Oreochromis niloticus: one gene and its partner. The protein of the gene in region 2 purifies or fractionates together with the protein of the main gene of each other region. This does not show direct contact. Links are inferred from orthologs where the notes say so. Each region holds a gene or a part of one and is shown on either strand. Other genes may lie near its edges.

What was found. The genes of interacting proteins can lie anywhere in the genome.
Region 1: the proteins of prpf19 (region 2) and plrg1 purify together in Homo sapiens (affinity purification with mass spectrometry; 8 studies listed by BioGRID and IntAct, counting the BioPlex papers as one, with this or other methods). This does not show direct contact. The link is inferred for Oreochromis niloticus from reciprocal best matches to the Homo sapiens genes PRPF19 and PLRG1.

Annotation. Positions count from the first base shown.
Region 1 is NC_031971.2:14,044,152-14,051,368, reverse strand, and holds the start of plrg1 (pleiotropic regulator 1), read left to right. Parts: upstream 1-4,118; 5' UTR 4,119-4,269; coding exon 4,270-4,278; intron 4,279-4,484; coding exon 4,485-4,591; intron 4,592-5,619; coding exon 5,620-5,756; intron 5,757-5,968; coding exon 5,969-6,022; intron 6,023-6,101; coding exon 6,102-6,195; intron 6,196-6,330; coding exon 6,331-6,421; intron 6,422-6,506; coding exon 6,507-6,605; intron 6,606-6,723; coding exon 6,724-6,816; intron 6,817-7,195; coding exon 7,196-7,217. UniProt on the Homo sapiens protein: Involved in pre-mRNA splicing as component of the spliceosome. Component of the PRP19-CDC5L complex that forms an integral part of the spliceosome and is required for activating pre-mRNA splicing.
Region 2 is NC_031966.2:24,428,238-24,436,232, forward strand, and holds the start of prpf19 (pre-mRNA-processing factor 19), read right to left. Parts: upstream 3,021-7,995; 5' UTR 2,839-3,020; coding exon 2,820-2,838; intron 2,607-2,819; coding exon 2,457-2,606; intron 1,936-2,456; coding exon 1,859-1,935; intron 1,058-1,858; coding exon 916-1,057; intron 768-915; coding exon 694-767; intron 596-693; coding exon 530-595; intron 404-529; coding exon 362-403; intron 235-361; coding exon 160-234; intron 72-159; coding exon 1-71. Other genes in the region: uncharacterized protein LOC102080103, read right to left, coding at 4,818-5,039, 5,125-5,223, 5,330-5,431, 6,483-6,667, 6,769-7,107, 7,281-7,565. UniProt on the Homo sapiens protein: Ubiquitin-protein ligase which is a core component of several complexes mainly involved pre-mRNA splicing and DNA repair. Required for pre-mRNA splicing as component of the spliceosome.

The DNA.
Region 1 (7,217 bases), on a different chromosome or scaffold from region 2:
CAGAGCAGTTCCTGACCTATTGTGAGATTGACGTCCACAGTAATACAAAGGGAATACATCACCTTAACCACACATCAAAATGGATCGCCTGTCGCTGGAGCCTGTCCCAGGTGTAAAATCATTTGTTTTCTAATCTTCGATAATAATTTTTCATAAATTCCCTCTGTCGTCAATTTTAGATCAAAAATCTTTTAGGATTTAACAAATGCTTTTTGTCTCTGATCACTGCCTACAGAGACGTGATGGCAGTCTGGACTTCCACAAGAACTGGGTCCAGTACAAGCAGGGCTTCGGTTATCTCTCACCACAGAATTCTGGTTAAGCAATGAGAGGGTTTACCTGTTCACTACTAGCTCTAACGTCCCAATTGTGCTCAGGATAGAGCTTGTTGACTGGGAGGGCAACAAAAGGTACACACACACACACACGATAACAGATTATGTAAGAATGCACTTATGGACAAGGCAAACATGTCCGCTCTAGTAGCGAGGTTACCTTAGAGGAAGAAAAAAAATGACTCAACAGTTGTTACCAAAACCTAACTTTAGATCCATGATTCTGTGACAGAGACAAAAGTACTAATTAATGTGAGGTCTAAACTGTTTGCATTATCTTTATGCAGGTGGCAGGTACACTGAAAAGGATGCTGGTGAATTTGGCTTCGACAACGGCATCATTTGGGTCACGTGGCACAACCGCTGGTACTCCCTGAAAGAGACCACCATGAAGCTCATTCCCCTCAGTCGCATCACAGCAGGAGGACAGCAGGCTGGAGTCAAACAGTTTGGTGGACTTGGAGACGCTTAAAAGAGACAATTTTTTTTAATGCTCTCACTAATAGCTCTGAAAAATGCCATCATGGAAAAGTTTCTATTTTTTTGTTTTTGTATTTTTCTGTTTGCAGAATACCTGAGTCCCTTTTTCCTCATTTCCTTGCTACACTCTCAATTCTAAAAAAAGAAAAAAAGCAATAGTGTGCAAATCTCATATACCTATAAGATTTTCACAGCAGAGCATAGAAAACATATCAAATCTTGAAAATGACACATTGTATACCTTCAATGAATCACTAGCTTATTGTGGTGGAGGGGTTTGTGTATCCCAGGAATCCCAGGGGCTATGTTATTGGTGGGCTTTTGCCCCCTGCTATGATCTCCCATGTCAAATCTGTCCTGGGTGAAGGATCTGACAAAGACCTATTCAAAAACCCCTATGAAAAGATGATCCAGGGAGCAGTTCACCCTGCCTGATATAGGGTTACTGGGGCCCTGCTCTGGAGCCAGGCCCAGGGAGGATGACCGAGGCCGAACACCTGGTGGCCGGGCTTTAGTGCATGGGGCCTGGCTGAGCACAGCCCAAAAAAGGGGCGTGGGCCCACCCTCCTGTAGGCCCACCACCCTCAGGATTTGTCATAGGGGTCGGTGCAGTGTGTGCTGGGCTGCGCTCAGGGGCAGAGACCCTGGCAGACCGATCACGGACTACCAAGACTAGCGACTGGGGCATGGAACATCACCTCTGTGGTGGGGAAGGAGCCTGAGCTAGTGCATAAGGTCGAGAGGTCGAGAGTCCACATCTTGGACTCTAGAACGAGTTTCCTGGAGAGGGGGTGGAGTTTTCCAACATAGATGGCAGGGTTTGTTCGGGTCAGGAAACAGGTCCTGAGTGTCAGTCCAGAGTACCCAGTTTCTTTGATTACCTGGGTGGGGTGCTTGAGGGGGACCACTTGAGTCCCCCACCTGGTGACTCTGTCGTCTTACTGGGAAACTTTATCACTCATGTGGGCAACAACAGTGAGACCTGGAGGGGTATGACTGGGCCAGATCTGAACCCAAGTGGTGTTTTGTTACTGGACTTGTTACTGGTGCAAACCACAGTTTGTCCATAACAAGCACCATCTTCAAACATAAGGGTGGCCATAATGTAACTAGATTACTCTCCAGTTACAGTAACTCAGAGTTGTTGTACCAGATTCTGAATGTAGCAGCTTAGTAAAGATATTCTTGAAACCATCAATGGCCCCTGACTTTTGTTTTATTAACTGATTATAATAATTTGCTTTGGATAATCAGTCTTTTAGTCATTTTATTACAGTTTTCACATCAAAATCTCAAGACTGCTCATTATGACTTTTAGATTTTAGTTTGCAGCAATTTTGACTTTTAATAAATATGATCTTCTTTTCCTGTGGTCGCCCAGATAAACTATCTTTTAAAAAAAATGTCTAACTGAACAAACTGTGACGTTAAATCTTTGAGGACAGAAAACCATTTTGTCACATTGTTGCAGAGCTTTCAGAGCATCTCAGTTGAATTGTTTATTTTGAGCCACACTAACACAGTTTATTTACTTTGCATTGAACTTGTAGTACTTGTCCCCGTGCATCATCAGACTCACATCGATAATCTCTGTCAGAGTCCAAATTCTGCCCAGCTCTTGGCGTGTGATTTTGCCGAACAATGCGTGGATTTCTAAAGCTTCTTAACAGGATAGCATTATGTTAGTACACCCACTGACTCTTTCAAAAGCCAGTTTGTTTGTTTGTTTTAATTAAATTGGCCTCAGACATTTTTGAAAAACACTGATATAAATTTACTCTGCCACAATAACGCAACACACACACACACACTGCACCATTTAGGTTCAAATTCGAAATGGATAACCATTAATAGATGTACTCTGCTGGGCAAACATGATCTGGTACAGAAGGAAGCAAAACCAAATTTGGGCCTGTCCTCCCACCAAATCTCAAACACCAAATCAGGAAATCAGGAAACAGATGAAGAAAAGTGTTGTTGAAATATACATGCAGCCCTGATCTCAGTAATCTTTATGATTGTGTGGCATAGAACCAATGTTGCTTTATTTAAATGTGGATTTGTTCAGGCTCTTACACTGAGGATGTCATTAGGGACAGTGAAAACAGGTCCAGCGAAAACAGGTCCAGCTTACACATTCCGAGTGAAAGCTGGAGAAATGTCACTTTGACTCCATAAGAAACAGCTCACTGCTAACTAGGCGAGGACTAGAGCATTAAACACAATAATAATTTGGTGGCCATTGCCATCCATTAAAATAGGACCCTCTGGGAATCACCAAGACCTGGTATATTATGAGCTACTATTCACCAGCTAGAGGTTAGTTAGTCCAGAAATAAGCAGTTAAGGTGATCAGGAGAAAACAGACAGAACCATTTGTCCAGTTCAGAGTCACACAGCCTGTTCTATGGGGCAAGAGGCAGTACACACTGAACAGACAGACATTCTTGAAATTTAGAATCACTGTTAAATCCATGCTTCTTTTTTCTTTTTTCTTCTGGACTGTGAAAGGAAACGGCTGGACACAGGTGGATTTAATCGTTGGATCTTCTGGCTGTAAAGCAACAATGTTAATCACACCACAGTGCTGCTCCAGAACAAGCAACTATTAATGATAAACTTTAAAAAAAAAAAAAAAAAAAAAAAGGCCTGCATTTGTATAGCGCTTTACTTAGCCCTAAGGACCCCAAAGCGCTTTACACTACATTCAGTCATTCACCCATTCACACCCACATTCACACACTGGTGATGGCAAGCTACATTGTAGCCACAGCTGCCCTGGGGCGCACTGACAGAGGCGAGGCTGCCGGACACTGGCGCCACCGGGCCCTCTGACCACCACCAATAGGCAAACATGGGGTTAGTAGCTTGCCCAAGGATATTTGGCATGCAGCCGGGAGGCAGCCTGGGATCGAACCACCGACCTTCCGATTGGTGGCGGACCTGTTTTTGGTGTTGGACCTTGTTTTTGCAGTAAGTGCAAAAGCAAAAAAAAATGTGGCAAAAGCACTGGAAATAGTGCCACAGAGGGCATTATTTCTAAAATTAGCAGGAGTGGTAAGAAAGAAAGGAACGGCAAAGCGCAGACTGAACTGATTAAAGCAACTTGGAGAGCACTAATTATTAGTAGTAGTAATAGTAGTAGTATTAGTGTCAAGAAAAGAAGGAGATACTGTGTCCTCGCTTTATGCATTTATAAAGCGATTCGGACGAGTAGAGGTTAAAGATTTGGCTTTTTAAAATTGTATTTCAATTTCCCTCCTGGCCTATAGGTGGCGCTAACAAACTGCTAGCTGTCCTTTTACCTCTTTACTTCCGGGGTATTCGGTCGTTGGAGCGTCGCGGTAGTCATGTTTTTGCGTTCGTGATACTTTTTGGGGAACGTGCTTTGTTTTGCTGAAAAAAGGGATATTTTTCCGCTTCTTTATAACATTACTTTATTTTTACCGCCACAATGACTGAGGTAAGAAGATATTTAAAGTCCGTTTTGGGTTTTTTTTTGTGTTTCCGCCCGCCCGGCAGACACATAGCCCCGCTCGGCTAATTGCTGCAACCACATACGCTTATGGTTTTGTTTGCATTGCTCATAGTAAAAAGTAGTTACTCCCAACGTTTTCCGTGGTTGCACTAGTTTAAAACACGTGTTTTCTTATTTATTATCATCTACAGGATGTTCAGAAGCACTCAGTCCACACTCTGGTCTTCAGATCTCTTAAAAGGACTCATGATATGTTTGTGTCTGATCACGCCAAGTCCATCGCGCTGGATGATGAAAGGTAAAGGCACAGTGTTACCTTCTAATGATTTGAAGTTGTGCTTATGGGTGAATTACAGGGTTTTCAGAGTCTAATGTTAATTTAGTTCAGGTGAACTGCAGCACAGTGTAGTCCAGTACAGAGAAGAGCAGTGAAAACGTCTCAGTTTTAATAAGCATCTCACAAATCTGCAGGTTATTGGATTTTCTTTTTAATTTTTTTTTACGTTTAGCCTTTTGTGGACCTTCAAAAAATATTTTCCTATAATTTAAGACTAGTTACCACTTTCTCAGGTTCACATTGCAAGCTCTAATGCCGTGTGAAATTGTTGTAGAGGTTTTAATTTAATCATTTTGCACTAGCGCTTTGTATTAGTGTTGCTCGCTAGACCAGATAAATGAGGAGGGCTGGAGAGATTGGCAATGACAAAAAAACAGGGGATGGAGGTGGTGATGGCAGAGCAGAAGAGGTTAAGCTTTTCATTGGGCGTGACTGGGGTGGATAAAAATGAGTATATTACAGGGAGAGCTCAGGTCGAGTACTTTGAAGACAGTCTAGAGTTAGAGAAACAAAGCTGAGATAGTTTGGACATGTGCAAAGGAGGGTTTGGACAAAGGATGTTTAAGATTGAGCTGCCAAACAGGAGAGAAAGACGAAGGAGGACATACAGAGAGTTTCACACAGGACGATGTTCGTAATAAGGTGAGAGGGAGGCAGATGTTCTGCTGTTGTGACCCCTAAAGGGAGCAGTCAAAAAAAAGAAGCATTTGTAGCTGCAGCACTAAAGAGCATTAATTTTTTTCAGGAGTTTATTTTCAGTTTACCAAAATGTCTATTGTCTAGGAAGTTAAAGCGCTATCAATTTCCTCCTCGAAGAAAGAAAAATCTCTGCTGCTACACCCCAGACAGTAAATTAGATCTACTTTCAAATACTAGTAAAAAGTTCAAGGTATTTACTGTGTTGTTCATGTGAATATCATTATGCTCATTTGATTATAAATATTAGATGTTTATAAAGGAAAATGCATCATTATGTCATCTGTTTGCAGCCACAAGTTGAAGATGGGGGTTAAACTGAAAGCAGACTACGATGCAGTGTTACACCTGCCCATCCTGAAGGAAGGGAAAGACAGAGCCTCACATCTTTCGGGCAGCATGGAAGGCCACCAGAACTACGCTCAGCCAGGTGAGGATGAAAGTGTCACTGCATGTCAGAGTCACTCTTAAGTGTGCCAACAATTTATTATTAACAAATATGTGGAAATGTAGATTTTTATTAGTTATTTTTTGCTGTTAAAAAGCTCAGTTTGTCTTTAAATTTAGCTTTTCTTTGTTTTCTGAAACCTTTTATTTCAAAACTACATGATTTAAAGACATTTTGGGAATATTACGTTTCAGGTGAGGACCCAGAATACCTGATCACTGGGACACATGCCTACCCATCTGGACCAGGTAAATACTCTCAATTTGTGACTTTTTAATTTCATCATCCCAATTGGAGTCTTTATAACCAGTATTTTTTACTCACCAGGGGTGGCATTGACCGCTGACACAAAGATGCACAGGAATCCCAGTGACACTGGAGTACACTCCATGGCGTTAGTTTTACCCCCATCGCAAGCTAGGTAAACTTTGTCCCTCACACACACACACAGTACAAAGGGAGTCAGTCACCAGTAGCAATTTAGCAAAAAAGCACTAATAACAAAATGATGCTTACTCACACATAAACCATCATTTACTCTGTGGGTCATTTGTAGGCAGGACGCGAGTCGCACAGCAGCCAGTATTGCTGACATCCACCGGCATGCAGGAGGAGCAGAGCGATCTCACCCTCCGTCATCTGCAGTGGTAGGTCACAGTTTATTCGTACTTTTACTCAGGCTAATCGGTTTGAATGAAAGAAGTGCAGATCTGATCATCAGTGTGTTTTCAGTCGCTCCTGGAGGGAGGTGGCACCAGAAATTCTGCTCTCATGAGGAGAGCGCCCACAATGCCCAAACCTCAGTGGCATCCACCATGGAAACTGTTTCGGGTAACTAGCAATCATTTCAACTTTTCTAAGTTTACTCGACATGATGCGCATACAGTGGGCGCGGTCTGGGTGGGATATGTTCTGTGTTTGTTTAACTGTAGTTTGTTTTGTCTGGTAGGTCATCAGCGGTCACCTTGGCTGGGTGAGGTCCATCGCTGTAGAGCCTGGGAATCAGTGGTTTGTCACAGGCTCTGCTGATAGGACTATAAAGGTGAGTCAAGCGGGAAATAACAGTAAGCGACAAACTAAAAATGGCTCATCTGACATGGAGTCACCTCGGTTTGGTTACATGATGACAGCAAAGACTGACATGTTGAAACAGGACACAACATGTGTTGTGTCCTCCTCTTTCTCCCCTGCTAAATTAGCTCTCCTCCGAGTCACCTCTCCTCGAGATCGTTACCTGTGTTTATTTAATAGATTGTGTTTTCTGTAGGTTCAGACATGCCAAAGTGCCTGCTAGCAACTTTAATACCCTGCTCTTCACAGATGATTAAGTTATACTGAATGCCCAATTTTTACCTATTAAACTGTTTGTAAATTAATCTCAGATTATCTTAATTTGACTTGAAGGCTGCCTGTCTTGACAGATCTGGGACCTGGCCAGTGGAA
Region 2 (7,995 bases):
AGCACTTTGTTGGTGTCTGAGGGACACAGATCCAGAGACAGAATACCAGGCACACTGGCACTATGAAGACCCTGAAGGCAACATAGGAGAGAACGGTGATAAATTGGATTGCTCGGTGAAACAGATGCATCCTCGTGATCCTGCATAATCAATACTTACAGCATGAGAGGCCACTTGGCGGTATTTGCCGAGATCCTCGGCTCTAACCAGATCCTCTGGGACAGTTTTGCCTCTCTGTAGAGAACCACAGTAAAGCAATTAAATGAGAGCGAGGGTAAATTATGCACAAACAGAGCTTGTGGCAAAATAAGTAAAACAAGTGTTTGCACATTAGCAGCTAAATAAAAGAGAAATTTAATACCTTCTTTCTCTCTGTAGTGAGGATAGTAGCCTTGTCTTGGAGCTGCAAATAGAAAAAAAACATTTAAAAACATCAAGCTCAAGAAAAGCACTTTATAACCAAAGAAATTATTACAAACGGTCATAATGGTAAAAAAGTAATCAATCAAAAAAAATATATCAATATTACCTTCTGGATGATTTCTGGAGTCATTCCCACTTGTTCACTAATCTCCATAGGCTCTCCACCAGCACCCTGGTGTAAAAAAAAGGCAGAATTAAATATTTTTTAAAGGCATGATGTGACAGTCTGATCGTTGTCTTATCAGCTGAAACTAAAGCCCAGCTACTCACTGCTGCAGCTGGCTGAGAGGCGGGCACTGCCTGAGGGGCAACCAATCCGGCCTGGGGTTTGAGCGTAGCAAGAGCTGTGGAAAGAAGAAATCGACTCATTAAAATAAATAAAATACACACACAATATCAATGAATCCAGGTTCATTTGGACCCGATGATCACATTAAAGCCATTTCTACACGTTTCATAACTGTGCGGACACCCAAACTGCTGTCAACCCACCTTCTCTTGCAGCTGTGACCTCTTTGGTGAGTCGAGCGATGACTCTGCAGGCGGCATCGTGCTGATAGAGGGCGTGTGAAAGTTCTTGGCGAGTAGTCTGCAGCTGCTGCCGCAAGGTGAAGCTATGAAGCATTACAGCATCCTAGAACAGAAATGAAAAGTGAGAAAGGAGCACAAACAGACACAAATTGACATGTTTTAATTACTTTGGTTCTACCAGCATTTTGCAGTCAAGATTTAAAAAACAAAAACAAAAACAAAAAATCCCACCATATACTGGTTTGTTTGAAATATATCTTAAGAAAATTTATTAAACTCACTGGAATATAACTTTACACCCATGTGTTTAAATTAAATAAGGAAGATAACAAGATGGAACTCGCTTTTTTGGTCTCAGCTAAAGAATTAAAGTTATTTAAATGAATGTACCAAACAAACATTTTTCATGAATTCAAACTAATTCAAAAGACCCAAGGTTTGTCACAAAACTTTGCAATTCAAGAAAGAAAAGGGGCCAATCTTCTATTAGATTCTTTTTTTGCAGCACAGATTAGATCAAAAATATGCTGTTGTAACCCATCATATAAATGCACAATTAGAAAAAACAAACAAACAAAAAACAAAAATTCAAAACAAGAGTCCTGTTGTTAAAAACTACTGGAGAGGGATAAATGGTTGCCTGTAACACACTTTTAATTGTTAAACTATCCAACACCCTACAGATCTGATTTGAGTTCTACACATTTATAACTAATTTATGTTGATTAGTAGCTGACTCCCTACTTGTTTAAAATGTTCCTAAATGTTGTGTGTATTTGTAATGTGTTGTTGATGTAGTGTTAAACATTAATAAGAAAAATCAATTTAAAAACAAAATGATACATACAATAGATACAGTATAAAGTGCTCTGTTCTTTGCTATCTCAGAGTTTACAGGACTTACCCATTCATCTTGAAGGGACTTGAGAATGGCAGGAATACTGGTTGCCGATGGTGCCTTTGGTCTAATAGGATGAGCCACTAAAAGACAGGAAACCTCTTCAGTAATTCATCGAGGCTTATTTGCAATGAGATTTGAGTATTTAAGGGCATATGCCACACTGATTTTCTTTTCATATATAAATCTAGATCATTTCCTATGGTTCTATGAATATCACAAAGAATAGCTCATGAGCACCTATCCAACTTCACAAAGTCTCACCCTTGAAGGCCACACGATTAAAACTAAAACTTATTTAACAAACAGCAAATGAGATAAATCGGTTTTTGATGATGAATATAATATTCTACTTTTGTGTAAGTTCTTTTAAAAAAAGTTTATTTGTTTGGGAGGTTTTATTTTTCGCTTCACCTGAATTCTTCAGGATTTGTTTTATATGATTCATAAGATACAATACAATGCAACACGTCTGCAAACTTCAGCCTACGAAACCAAAGCCGAGCATCATTCCACTGATAACGACCTCTCTGACGGAAGTAGCATTACTCTGCATGAACTTTATTAAGGTCTACTGCCTCTTAGAAAACACCCAGAAACCCACCTTTGATGTCTACGAGCTGCTCCTCGGACAGCGGCTGTCCGTTCATCGGGTCCGTCCCATTCTCTGCGATGTACTTCTCGATCAGCCTGCGCTCAAACACCTGGTTGGACACCGGAGAGACGCACGGGTGCTCTGGCACTTCGTTGGAAACTGTAATAGAGTTCAGTTCCGGCTTTTTTAACAACACATAACTCCCAGCAATTTAAAAAAAACACACACAATTAAAAAAGAGAGATCGATGAACTATATCAAAGCAGAAGGCGGTACTGCATGGCCGCTAACGCTAGCTAAATCAGCTAGCAGCATTAGCGCGGTACCGAGCTAACCGGCCTCCGTCATATCAATGAATTCAGCTTCACCTACTTGCACAAACCAAAGCCATGTTCCAGGCGGAGTCCTAAAAGTCTCGTGTTAAATGTGATTTATGCTCGCGCTGTACTTTAAAGTTGTTGCAGCTAAGGTAGACTTTACTTCTGTTTGGAAGTAGCACGCTGTCCTTTCATTGCCGCTACAACGAACACTCTTCTTCTACGCTTTGAGTTAGCTTCAATGTCCCAAACTCTGCCACCTACCGTCACTGCGCCGAGGAGAACATTTGACCACTTTCCAGCTTCCTAAATATATGTGTATCTATCTATCTATATATATATATATATATATATATATATATATATATATATATATATATATATATATACACACACACACACACACATATATATATATATGTATACACACACGCATAGGTGGAAAGTGGTCAATCGTTAGTTTATTGATTATTGCTTTATTGATCAGGTACAAGGAGTTTTTGCACTCAGTGTACATAACAGAGTAGCCAACAGACAGACAGAGAAACAACATGACACCAACACGGCACAGACAATAATACATTTATAGCGTACTCATAGAGCAAAGTTGCAGAGTGCAAATCTGTTGGAATAAATAAGAGCTGGACAGCTAGTTATTATATATACAGTATACACATGAGGATTGACTATAAATATATATATATAGCATATAGGTATGTACAACAGGACAAAACAGTATATACTGCATGCTTTGATTCAGCAGCAGGTTTGGTGGATTTTTTAAATACAGAGACCATGTGAGTGTCCTAAATGTTTATCAGAGTGATGGCCTGTGGAAAGGAACTGTACAGATGGCTGCTTGTTTGGGCATACAGTGCTCTGTAGCGCCTACCAGAGGATATGCAGTGATATTGCCTGATTGTGCCCTGACTCTACATTTGTATTTCCTGCAGAATTCACTGTCCATTGTAGTCTGTTCTTGTCCTGCAAACAATACCATGATGAGTGAGCAGAGAACAGACTGGATTAATGCAGAGTCGAATGGATCAACACCTCCTGAGGCAGGTTGAACTTCCTGAGCTGGTGCAGGCCTCTGCTCGGCCTTTTTGATGATAGTGTCTATACTGAGTGACCACTTCAGATCTTGGAACATTGTGGCAAGCGGGGATAATGGAGAGTGACTCCTCCTCAACTGCACTGTTACTGCTACAGTTTGAGCGTATTCAGCTCTAGGCTGATCTGACTACACAACAGGGCCAGCTGTTCAACCCCACATCTGTGTCCTTGATAAGACCAATGACCGTCATCAAAAATCACAATTTTGACTGACAGGTTTTTAGAGAAACAGCCACTTGCATGGAGGGAGAAGAGCAAAGCAAAAAGGACACACCCCTGGGTGGCGAACATACATACAGTGTAAAGATGACATCATCTAAAATGTGTTTGTTAAAGACACTTTTTTTATTTTTTGAGTGATGACATTATGACATTGTGAAAATATTACAAGCTTTGGGGATAAAAAGTTATCCTGCACACAAAATTCACAGATTAATTGCAGTATTTGGTGAAACATGTCACATAACTATTATAACTAGAATTACCCCCAAAGATTTAATACACTGCATAAATCGTTAGAAATGCAGACAAGCTATTTAGAATAATAATTACATATGGACAACATGATGGGTGAGAACTTAAGTCAATATTGCTGTACAGTATTTAAAAATGAGCTTTTTCAAACGTTACCACAACAACTGGTGGGTAGCCCTAGAGACCGTCTTAAACACAGGAGCAGTGCAGATCATATTGGTCCTGAGGGTCCGGAGGTAGGTAACGGCAGGAGATTTCAGGAGCACCATCAGGCAGTGCAATATGAGACAGGAAGGATTATGCTCAACTCATGCTTCAGAAAAATTACAAAGCAAACTATTAAAACCGTGCATAAGGCACAGGCAAGGTTTTTCTTCTCTGTCAGGAGCATAACTTCACCGTTTGTGTGATTTCTCCATGCTGAATAATCCTTCTTCCCTTATCTCCGATCCAGTTCTCTGTTTTATGAAAAGTTCAGATTCTTTGACGTGTAAACACTGAAGGATTCAGAGGTGTCCGTGTCTAGTGGCAGCGTGGAAAAGAAGTCTTGGGATTTGTTCCCCCTTCCCTTATCTCCGTCCTTTTTGATTTGGAACTGAACGCAGTCCTCGGATGAGTGGAGGCAGTCTGAAGCTCCGGGCACAGGGAAGGAAATCCTGTCCTCTTCCTCATTAGATTTAGCCTCCTAACAAGGGATGAAGACACAAGTTTAAGCAAATATCGTATTAATCCGTGGCATCTAAATATTCACAGCTGGAGAGCTGTATTACCTCAACAGTTAAGTTATTACTAGGAGAACTCCCAGCTGTCGCCCTGTGGGCATCCTGGTTCTCAGCTCTCGGAGACCCTACCATTACCGGAGCATAACCCTGGAAATACAAACAACAACAGATATGAACACAGACACAATTCAATTGAATGATTTTAGCTCCCTTAAAAAAAACAAAACAGATTATATTAGTTAGTCCGTCTTACAGTGTGAACAGGACTGGCTCTTGGGGTCCATTTTCTTGTTGTTTCAGGCTGCTGAGAGTAGCTGTAGTGGCCTGAGGGCTGAGGAGAGGGGTGACTGTAGTGCTGCAAGAAAAACACACAAACATAAATAAACCAGTAACGATAATGACCTAGGAACTCATCCGGCTCACAGACCATCACAATTCACCGGTTACTGCTCGTAAAAACAATAAATGTGACCTTGAGTGATCACTGTGTCCAAGGTTCTTGTGGATTGCGGAGGGACAGCCAGATGACATATGTCTCGCCATGGCATGAAGGCATGGCAAGGCTCAAATAGAGATTAAAAAGAAAGGCTGAAACAGCTAGCCCTATTTATGTAACCGTCTGCTGCTCTCCTTTCACGTTTCATGTTTTGGAGAGTCAAAGCGTGAAATGGGCATCGTGGACCGGTGTGTCTGTTAAACGTTTCGCCGGGATATCAGGTTGCTCCTTGCTAGTGATGTGTGTGGCATCATCACGCTGACATCTACAGAGCTTCAGTCAAATTACTTTGGACAGAATATATAAAAATATCTACGAAGTATCTGAAATAAAACATACCCACTGAATAAAGAGCTTCTACCATAAGTTTTTTTTCTCCGTACTTCTTAAAGATACTTCAGCCCATCAGACTGTCTGGTGCAAAAGAGAAATGTCCAATAACGTTAACATGTGACTCATGGAGGTGTCAAAGTGCATGCATCTGCAATATGATTGACTTGACGGCTTGTATTTATTTATTTGGCTGTAGACTCTCCTTCATATCAAAGAGTGAGGCCATCTGTTTCATCAGGGTGAAGAGTGCATCACCCTAATAAATCCACCAAGAAATGGCTGGATGAGAAGAAATGGAGTACAGCAGTATGGCGTAGGAAACAATATATAAATTGAACTGTTGTGGGTGGATTCTAACTTCTTGCACTGGGTGGAAAATTTGTCATTTCTGCTAGAGGTTGGAGCAGTGACTTCTTCAGAAAAAGCTCACTTTCCTGTGACTCTGTTCAGCTATAGCACCCTTATCTGCAGGAACTGCTTCAAGAAGATCAAATGGCTTCAAAGACAATATTTCCTTGTCCAAATATATATATATGTAAAAGGAAGTCAGTATGATGTTTTTTCCTGGTTTCCTCACCTGGATGTTGACCCTCGGGGGGTTGGCTGGCGGCGTGCGGTGTGTTCTAAAGCAGGTGATGATCTGGGAGAGGCTACAGTTTGGGTAGCGTTTCATGAACAGGATGAAACCAGCCAGGGACACGAACATGCCAGAAGGGACAGTGACGGACTTGAGGAGTGCTCGCCAACTCCCTCCCCTTTTGTCTGGGAAGATAGCAGATAGCATTTTAGGAGGAGGAGTGGCAACTGTGGATCAAACAACTTCTGACTGATGCATGCTTCCAAAAACATCGCACAATACCCACCGATCACGTGCAAGTAGGTGGAGGATACCAGGTTGCCATTCCTGTCTTTGACTTCATACAGCCCATCATGCCTTGAGGTCAGCCTTGCAATGACCACCTCGTAGATGGAGCCGTTCCTACTCAGTGAGATGATACCCCTGTAGCGCAGGTCATGGTCCGTTATCTGCCCCTCACGGATGAGCTGCACAGGGCCACGCGGGGGTTTGGGGTCAAAGGGGCCCAGGGAGGATTCATCAGGAAATTGGCCAGGGGTAAAAATGAGATGGGCATGAGGAAGAGGAAGAAATAGAGGCAGGATTATGGACTCTTTGGTAAAGCGTGTGATGTTGAAGGAATGCCCTGCATCCATCCATGTGTAAAATCATGAAAAATGGAGTAGTGGTGAATGTGGAAGTATGAGAGGGCATCAGATAGAAAGGGAAAGATACGACAAAACCATTAGCACTGTAAAGTCACAAAGTTAAAGGTAGTCAGTCAGCTTCTTAAAACCCACATGTTTCTGCTCTGCTCACCACGGACGGTGAGGGTGCTGCGACCCAGCACCTTCCCGTTGTCGTCTCTCATGGTGTAGTTGCCTTGGTCTGCTTGCGTCACTCTCTCCGCCACCCAGACCTTCCCCCCTCTTAGTAGCCGCCCCCGGCCAGCGTCACCGGTTTCGGGGTCTGTCCGGTTCCAAAGCACAACCGGCACAGCCTCAGGCGGAGCGCCCCGGTGAGAGAACTCCAACAGGGAGCCATTTTCGGGGATGCTGTGCTCAAAGGTCTCCCCATAGTTTCTGCGGTAGGGTTTAATGCATTCTGAAGGAAGACGAAGAACCACGAGATAAGTGAAAGACAGAAAGAGAACAAGTTTATTTAAGTACAATTTTAAAATGCAAAAGTTACTTTCTTTTTAACTGAACTGGTGAAAATTAAAGTGATATTGCAAAAGACCCACTCCTAACACACATCAGTATACTGCCAGGTAAAGTACTGCCACACCTGCTGTGCATTCATACCAATTAACCTCTCCTCTTTTTACGCAGCAGGGGTGTAGCTGGTAAATGTTATATGCACACACACACAAACACACCTGAAACAGAGTCAGAATAGTTGTTACAACTTCTCTGCTTTAAAGCAATGAATACATTGCCTATATGGCATCAAAGCATACAAAGTCAAAGTCAAAGTCAAAGTCAACTTTATTTGTCAATTCTGCCATATGTACAGGACATACAGAGAATAGAAA